2 linked regions of the Macaca fascicularis genome follow. The protein of the gene in region 2 purifies or fractionates together with the protein of the main gene of each other region. This does not show direct contact. Links are inferred from orthologs where the notes say so. Each region holds a gene or a part of one and is shown on either strand. Other genes may lie near its edges.

What was found. Proteins that work in one complex are often made in the same cells at the same time.
Region 1: the proteins of KMT5C (region 2) and CBX3 purify together in Homo sapiens (affinity purification with western blotting; 3 studies listed by BioGRID and IntAct, with this or other methods). This does not show direct contact. The link is inferred for Macaca fascicularis from reciprocal best matches to the Homo sapiens genes KMT5C and CBX3.

What each region holds. Positions count from the first base shown.
Region 1 is NC_088377.1:104,102,943-104,107,089, forward strand, and holds the start of CBX3 (chromobox protein homolog 3), read right to left. Parts: upstream 2,801-4,147; 5' UTR 2,676-2,800; intron 2,488-2,675; exon of another isoform or gene 1,772-2,487; intron 1,257-1,771; 5' UTR 1,229-1,256; coding exon 1,205-1,228; intron 1-1,204. Other genes in the region: HNRNPA2B1 (heterogeneous nuclear ribonucleoproteins A2/B1), read left to right, coding at 3,667-3,672.
Region 2 is NC_088393.1:63,286,749-63,290,855, forward strand, and holds the start of KMT5C (histone-lysine N-methyltransferase KMT5C), read left to right. Parts: upstream 1-1,307; 5' UTR 1,308-1,388; intron 1,389-3,249; exon of another isoform or gene 3,250-3,368; 5' UTR 3,369-3,392; coding exon 3,393-3,502; intron 3,503-3,670; coding exon 3,671-3,836; exon of another isoform or gene 3,837-4,053; coding exon of another isoform or gene 4,054-4,104; intron 4,105-4,107. UniProt on the Homo sapiens protein: Histone methyltransferase that specifically methylates monomethylated 'Lys-20' (H4K20me1) and dimethylated 'Lys-20' (H4K20me2) of histone H4 to produce respectively dimethylated 'Lys-20' (H4K20me2) and trimethylated 'Lys-20' (H4K20me3) and thus regulates transcription and maintenance of genome integrity.

The DNA of each region.
Region 1 (4,147 bases), on a different chromosome or scaffold from region 2:
TAAGGTTAAAAAAAAGAAAAAAAAAAGGGGCAGACAAAATACCATACAGTATTTACTACTATGGCATTCATAAGCTAGTTTCAAATGCTCACCATTTTCTTTTGTAGTATATGTTTGGCTTAACCCAGTACTTTTTTCCAAATGTGGATTTGAGTCAAAATAAATTTCCCATTATTTAAGTGAAATTAACAGTACATATATCTCACAACACTAATGAATTTTTAAAATGAAAAGTTAAAAAAAGTTTTAAAGTGGCCAACCTGTGATCCCTCACAAAATAAACTATTTAAATACCAATAAATAACAGACCCCAAAGAGTATCAATTGCATGCAAAAACAAATTCTGTTTTCCAGGGTATCTGACTTAACATAGAATCTAATGATGGCACAAATTAAAAATCACCAACGTGCCCTTTCTAGTGTGAAACCCAGAGAGAACATATACAGACCAAAAACAAATGCTTTACTTTACCTAGGAGACATTAACATTCACCTTTACGCGCTTAAGATTAATGCAATATGTTGAGAGTTAAATATTGTGAAAACTGTAACTTTGAATTTCATGATTTTTATGTGAATATTCCAAGGTTTTAAAAAACTTGTAACATGACATAGCTGAAGAAGATACAAAAAATCTAGCCTTTTCTCCCTTCTGGATCGTATTTGCTATTTCGATCATTTTTTTTAAAAAAAACAAAACACCGCAATGAATTGTATTCAAGATTCTTCTATATTTCAGAGTAAGTTAAAACAAGATAAAGTGACCAAAGCCATTTGAAAGATTCACTAACTTGCTCCAACCTAGGTGCACAAGGTACCTGGTTCTTCAAATTTGGCTTTAATGAAAATACTTCTCCAGAATTCTGGGGATTTAAGGAAAATTATGCCAACCAACAAGGGCTTTATTATTTTATGTAATATTTTGCAAAAACGTGGGTATTTCTATCTGAAGATAAAAATCCTCAGCAAAATCCACATTGCACTGTCCTTCAAAGATTAAACTAGTTAAGACGCTATTAAGTCAAGTCAGCAAGTATCTCCATGTAATGAATTCGTTTTGCTCCTAATTTTCCCCTATAATTATACTGGGAGAGCTGGGAAATATGTCGATGTAAATTTCTCAACCACAAAGATGCAAAGTTATACTTTGGGGGAAAAAACCTTGGGTTAAATCCTTACATACTTTAGCTTTTCATTAACTTACCAATGTAGTTTTATTGGAGGCCATTTTTTATTGCAGACTTGAAGAACTATTACTAGAAAAATGCATGACAGTTAAGAGAAGTTTGCACGACACAAAAAAGGTAACTAAATACAAGTTCTGTTTGGATTCCAACCCCCAAGTAGGGAGCGCACATTTCAAACGTTGATACAAATCCAGAGTAGATTTGCGCTCCTACCTACATTGCTTATGATGCACGTAAGTACGTGTTCTAAACATGTGAGTCTAGAAAGACTTTACTGGGGATCTTGGTACCTAAGGCAGCTTCACATGGCTTAACATAGGGGACAAATATCTTTTCTAATCTAAATCCCATTTGTAATCAAGTCCATGTTCCATTTTTAAAGGACAATCCTTTCGGTTTAAAACCATGCACGATTACCCAAACAACTCACAACTGTAAACCCCTGTGAATCTTCTCTGTTCTGCAATCCTAAGTTTGTTTCTGCTCAGAAACCCTCTCTTTTTCCAATCAGCAGTTAACTAACTAAAGGAAAAAACTTAACGATGCTTCAACCCCGTTTCGTGACACTTTGAAGACGCAATCACCTTTTGCACACACCCGCTCCCCCTCCGCCTCCGACCCTCTCCGCTGGAGCTCTGCGTCCCGAGGCCTAAGCGCAGCTGCCCGCCCCCACCCGGGAGCGCGGGCCTCGTGGTCAGCGCATCCGCAGGGAGAAACAAAGGCCGCGGCGCGGGGGCTCAAGGGCACTGCGCCACACGGCACGCGCCTACCCCCCGCGGCGGCCACGTTAACGGGACGGCCGCCGCAACCTCGGGACAGTCGGCCGCGCGCCGCCAGGCCTCGCGGACACGGGACCACGCGCCGCCCTCCCGGAGGCCCAAGTCTCGACCCAGCCCCGCGTGGCGGCTGGGGGAGGGGGCGCCTCCGCCGGAACGCTGGTGGGGGAGGGGAGGGAAAATGCGCTTTGTCTCGAAATAGGGCGACCGTCGCCACAGCTCCCTACCCCCTCGAGGACCGAACAGTCCCCCCACTAACTGCCGGCGCCGGCCCCGAGCCAGGTCAGCCGCGAGGCCACCGCCCGACCCTCTCCACTCCTTCCCGCAGCTCCCGGCGCGGTGTCCGGCAAGGAAGGGAGGGGAGCGGAGAAGCGGGCCCCCGGGGCGCGTGCAGCATCTGATGCACCACCACCGAGCGAGGGCTAGAGAGAAGGAAAACCACCGACTTCACCGCCTCTGAGCTGCTCCGGGTCGCGGGTCTGCAGCGTCTCCGGCCTTGCGCGCCTACAGCTCGAGCCACATCCGAGGGGTGAGGGAGCCGGGAGCTGTGCGCGGGGCCGCCGGGGGGGGGAGGGGTGGCACCGCCCACGCCGGGCGGCCACGAAGGGCGGGGCAGCGGGCGCGCGCCCGGCGGGGGGGAGGGGCCGCGCGCCGCACCCGCTGGGAATTGGGGCCCTAGGGGGAGGGCGGCTGCGAAGACCGCGGCACTTACCGTTCGCCCCGTGGCGCCTGGTGGTCCCCAAGGGGAGGGAGGGGGGAGGAGGGGCGAGGACGGTAACCGGAGTCTCCTCAGCGGTGGCTTTTCTGCTTTGCAGCCTCAGTGCTGGCGCCAAAACCGGACTCCGCCCACTTCCTCGCCCCTGCGGTGCGAGGGTGCGGAATCCTCCAAACGCTTGGGGAGAGAGAGTTGGGAGCTTAAAAACTAGTACCCCTTTGGGACCACTTTCAGCAGAGACCCCTCCTGTACCCCAGGGGTCAGCTGCATAGACGCGGGTCAGGGTTAGGTCAGTGTGGCGTGAACGATAATTTGACTAGAAGTTGATTCGGGTGTTTCCGGAAGGGGCCGAGTCAATCCGCCGAGTTGGGACACGAAAAACGAAAAGGGAAGGCTCATATTATACTACGATTTTTCTGGCGGGGGTTATCAAAGGCGTAGCTGCAGGGACCACCTCCCAGGTTGAGAGGGCTGGAACTCCGGGCTCCGGATTAAGCTCCTCCCGTCGGCGTTAATTTCAAACTGCGCGACCGTTTCTCACCTGCCTTGCGCCAAGGCCGGGGGCGGGACCCTATTCCGAGAGGTAGTAACTCGCGGGACTCGAGCCTTCCGCAATTCACTGAGCGCATTTACGGAAGTAACGTCGGGCACTGTCGCTGGCCACAGGAGGGGGAGGAGTACGCATTTGGCGTAAGGAGGGGCGTAGAGCCTTCCCGCCATTGGCGGCGGTTAGGGCGTTTACGCAACGGCCTGACGTAGAGGAAGACGCGTTAGTGGGGGGGAAGGTTCTAGAAAAGCGGCGGCAGCGGCTCTAGCGGCAGTAGCAGCAGCGCCGGGTCCCGTGCGGAGGTACTCCTAGCGGTGTTGTTTCTCGAGGAGAGGCAGTTCTCACTACAGCGCCAGGACGAGTCCGGTTCGTGTTCGTCCGCGGAGATCTCTCTCATCTCGCTCGGCTGCGGGAAATCGGGCTGAAGCGACTGAGTCCGCGATGGAGGTAACGGGTTTGAAATCAATGAGTTATTGGAAAGGGCATGGCGAGGCCGTTGGCCCCCTTGTGGAAGTCGGCCGGCCGCCTCCGTGGGAGAGCGGCAGGAAATCGGACCGCTTCAGTAGCAGTGGGGCTTGAGGTTTATGAACGGGGTCTTGACCGGAGGCCTGAGCGTACAAACAAGCTTCCCCACCCTCGGCCTCCCGGCGCCATTTCCCTTCACTGGGGGTGGGGGATGGGGAGCTTTCACATGGCGGACGCTGCCCCGCTGGAGTGAAAGTGGGGCGCGGAGGCGGGAATTCTTATTCCCTTTTTAAAGCACGATGCTTTGGGGGCCACGGCGTCTCCGCGGCGAGTGTTTCGGCGGGCAGCGGGTACCCGTGAGCGAGGCTGCGGAGCTTCCCCTCCCCCTCTCTCCCGGGAACCGGATTTGGCGGCCGCCATTTTCATGGCTCGCCTTCCTCTCAGCGTTTTTCTTTTA
Region 2 (4,107 bases):
CTGTGCCATGCATTGTTTTAAGGGCCCACTATTTATAGCTATACAGGTGAACCGCATGTCTGACAGTGATCCTATAAAATTGTAATACCGAATTTTTACGGTACTTTTTCTATGAGTAGACACACAAGCGCCTACATTGTGTTACCGGACAGTAACCTGCCGCACAGCTGTGTGGCCCAGGAGCCGCCGGCCACTTTACAGCCCAGGTGCCCGCAGCCCTGCCACGTAGGTGTGAGTGATGTTGCTCTAGGATGTTGGCAGGATGACGACATCGCCTGAACACACACTGCCCAGATGGTATCAGTGTCGTTAAGCGAAGGATGGCTGTGGCGAAACAAACAAACAAGCAAACAAAGACCGCCTGTTCTGAGTGCGGAGCTTATTATTCTGGGCGTAATTATGATGAATTGTTAGTTACGTTTGCCTGCAGGATTGAGGTAAGGGGTGATCCCAATTAGGGGGTGCCCCAGGGGAGCGCCCCAGGAGTCAGGGCTTGTCTCAAAAGCCCCCGCTCCTCCCTCAGCCTCCCCTCCATCCGACCCCATTCATATCGCGGGAAGGTCCCACAGAGTGGCTGTGGATACTCCCGAAACGCAGCGGTGTAAACGGGGAGGGAGGGAGAGAGACAGTGGTCTGGGAGGGAGACTGAAGAGCCCTTTGTAGCCAGGCAGAGCTGTCAATAAAGTTTCGTCGCCTTAGTAACCGCAGGCTTCGCGGCGCGGGAGGGGAGAGGGATGGCGGTGCGCGCACAGTCACCGCCTTCCTCCCGCCCGCTCCGGCTTTCTCCCTCCTGCGGCTGAAGCTCTCTTCGGAGAAAGAGAATAGGGAGGCCGCAACTCTATGGTGATGGACGGATGCCTTACCCAATGGAAAGAGGAGCTGTCCCAAGGCCAGCCAGTCATATACGACTGCTGGTGCTGGCAGAGCCCGCCCTCTTTCCACTTGGACCTGAATAACCCGACCCAACCCGAGTTTCGCCCGGAGCGACTGCGCTTTCGGCCAATGAGTGCGTCGATTTCAGGCCGCAGTGGGAGAGGAGGCGGGACACGTCGCTATGAGAGAGACTGAGGGACAGCGATGTCAACCACTGACAACAGTTCGCGGCGCTTGACGGTGGCGGGGGCGTGGCGGGATTTTATCTGGGTACTGAGGAGGACCGGGCGGGGAAAGAGTGGGGCTTGACCAATGGGAGCGCCGGAGCTTCGTAGCAACGGAGGAGTGGCGGTAGCCGTGACCAATAGAAACTTCAGTGGCCTTGGCGGGGCGGGCCCGGCGAACAGATGGGAGGTGCGGCGACAGTGTTTGACGAGAGCTGAAGGAGGCAGTGGGAGGTGTTGGCGGCGGCGGCGCGGGCGCCTGAGGAGGAGGAGGAGGAGGAGGAGAAGCGGGTGAGGGGCGGCGCGGGGCCCGATCTCTGAGCCCCTTCACGGCCCCAGCCCCGCGCCGCCTTGGCTCCCAGTCGCCCCCTGCCCCGACTGCCCCCCACCCCGCCCGGCCCCTCCTCGTGTCCAGGCACCCACGTCTCCCGGCCCCTCGCCGGGCCTCGGGCTTCGCGGCACCGCAGCCTCCTTCCTGTGCTTCCTCACCCGGGCCCTGACCCCCTTCTTACGTCCACAGCCCTCCCTGCATCCTCAGGGCCTCTCCCTGACCTCCTGTCACTCTCCAGGCCTCTCCCTGCACCCCCAGGCCTCCTCCTGCACCCCCCAGGGCCTTTCCCTGACCTCACCCTCCAGGCTTCTCCCTGCACCCCTAGGCCTCTTCCTGCACCCTCAGGGCCTCTCCCTGACCCCTCTCTCACCCCTGGGCCCTACCTGCACCCCCAGGGCCAATCCCTGACGTCCTCTCACCCTCCAGGCTTCCTCCTGGACCCTCTAGGTCTCTCTGTGCCCTAGAACCTCTCTCTAACCCCTCTTCCCCTCTCCTGGCTCTCCCTGGACCCTGAGGTTGGCCTCTGACCCTCCAGGTCCCTTGCTCTGGGCTCTCACCGCCCACCCAGGCCCCTCCCTGGGCCCCCAGGCCCTTCCCTAGGGTCTCCCTTTCCTGGATTCCCCAGGACCCCACCAAGCCCCGTCTGGATCCCTAGGCCCCTGTCGGCCCTCTCAGGCCCCTCACTGGACACCCAGGATCTTCTCCACCGTCCCTGGGTCGCCCCCCCACCCAGGTCTCCCGTCTGGCTCCTCCCTGGGTCCCTAGGCCTTTCCCCGCACTCTGCCCTCCCTGGCACCCCCTTCCCTTCCTCACACCCCTCTGAGTGCCCCCAGGCCCGGCTGCAGCCTTCTGCCCCGCATGGCTTCCTGCCGTGCCCACCGCTGTGCGTTTCTGTCCTTGCCCCCAGTCCCCTCTCCAGCTTCCCCGCCGTCCCTGGCGCCCTCCCGCAGCGCCCCCTCTTTCTCTTCTGCAGCCTCCCAGTCTGTCCCCGACCCCTCTACAGCCGTCTCTGCAGCTCCCGCTCCTTCTCCTCCACTCTCGGGCGCAGATGAGCCTGGGGTGCCCTGGTGCAGGGATGAGGCTGGCCTCCGTCCGGGTTAGGGGTTTGGGTGGTTTCTTTCATCTCTCCATTCTCTCCTGGCTCCGCTTTAAAAACATGTTTTTGTAAATGTTGACCTGTGCTGCCTCCCCATAGTCTTCCTTTGCTCCCCACCCCACCCCTGCTTTTGTCCTCTGAGCCCCCCTCCCCTGGAATCCTTGGAGAGGGAGCAGGTGCTGGGATCCCTCCCCTGCCCTCCCTCCCCTCACCCGCCTCCAGGCTGCCTGGGGCTTCACCCGGAGCCTCCTGACCACTCCCGAAGGCTGCCGGGGAGGCAGGGGGCGGAGACCGAGGCTGGGTCGTGGTGGGGGTGGAGGGCGGGACCTCGGGCTGGCGGGAAGCTTTGACTTTTCCTCCTTGAGGGCTAGAGGTGAAGCGGCTCCCCACCTTGCTAAGCCTTTAGGGTGATCCCGGCTGCCAGTCAGTCAGCCTTCCCTGGGCCCACAGAGATGGGTGTGTGGGGGGGTCTCTGCACATGGGCAGGGGCATCTGCGTGTGTCAGTCTGAATGTGCATGGGTGTGCCTGGTGCCCGTGTGCGTGTGCACGTGGGGTTGTGTGTTTACGGGGGCCTGCGTCTGCCCTGCAGAGCAAGAGGGGATAGAGATGCTAAGGTGATGGCTGACATGGCTCTGGGGTTTCCCTACTCTCAGAAGTACTTCTTGCGTTCCATCTTCGCCAGCAGCCCGGTGAAGTCTGCACTGCTTTTCTCCCCATTTTGCAGATGAGATTGTGGGGCTCGCCAGCATCCCCCACGGCTTCTGAGTAGCTCAGGAGTGGAGTCAGCACCACGCCAGGCTCCCCGCGCCTGCCTTGCCCTCACTTGTTCCTGCTCTCTAACAGAGGCAGCATGGTCCGCAGGGCACCATGGGGCCGGACAGAGTGACAGCACGAGAACTGTGCGAGAACGACGACCTGGCCACCAGCCTCGTCCTGGACCCCTACCTCGGTTTCCGCACCCATAAGATGAACGTCAGGTGAGGCGGCCTGGGGGCGAGGGCGGGCCCGAGCGGTCAGGACCCCTCCCCTTGCACCACTGCCGCCCCTCAGCCCTCTCCTCAGTCTGGTCCTCCCCTCAGCTCCAAGTGGGGGTTGGGGCCGGGGCCCGGGAAGGCCCTGGGACCCAGGCATGCCCTCTCCCCCAGCCCTGTGCCCCCACTGCGGCGACAGCAGCACCTGCGCTCAGCGCTGGAAACTTTCCTGAGGCAGCGGGACCTGGAGGCTGCGTACCGGGCCCTGACGCTGGGAGGCTGGACGGCCCACTACTTCCAGAGCCGGGGCCCGCGGCAGGAGGCTGCCCTCAAGACCCACGTGAGGGCGCCCTCCCCTCCCCCGTCCTCACCGCGTGTCCTCCCTGCTCACCGGGCTTGGTCCTGCCTGGCAGACGCTCTAGAGTCCCTCAGCGCAGCCCCTGGGGCCCCCTGACTTCCTAGCCCTTGGGACCATCTGAGGCAAGGCTCAGAGAATCCTAGGAGAGGAGAGTTGGGGGGGGCCCTCTGAGATGTACTCCAACCTCTTCATTTGACGGATGAGGAAACTGAGGCCCCGAGAGGGAACACGAGGCCCCCGAGACCACACAGTG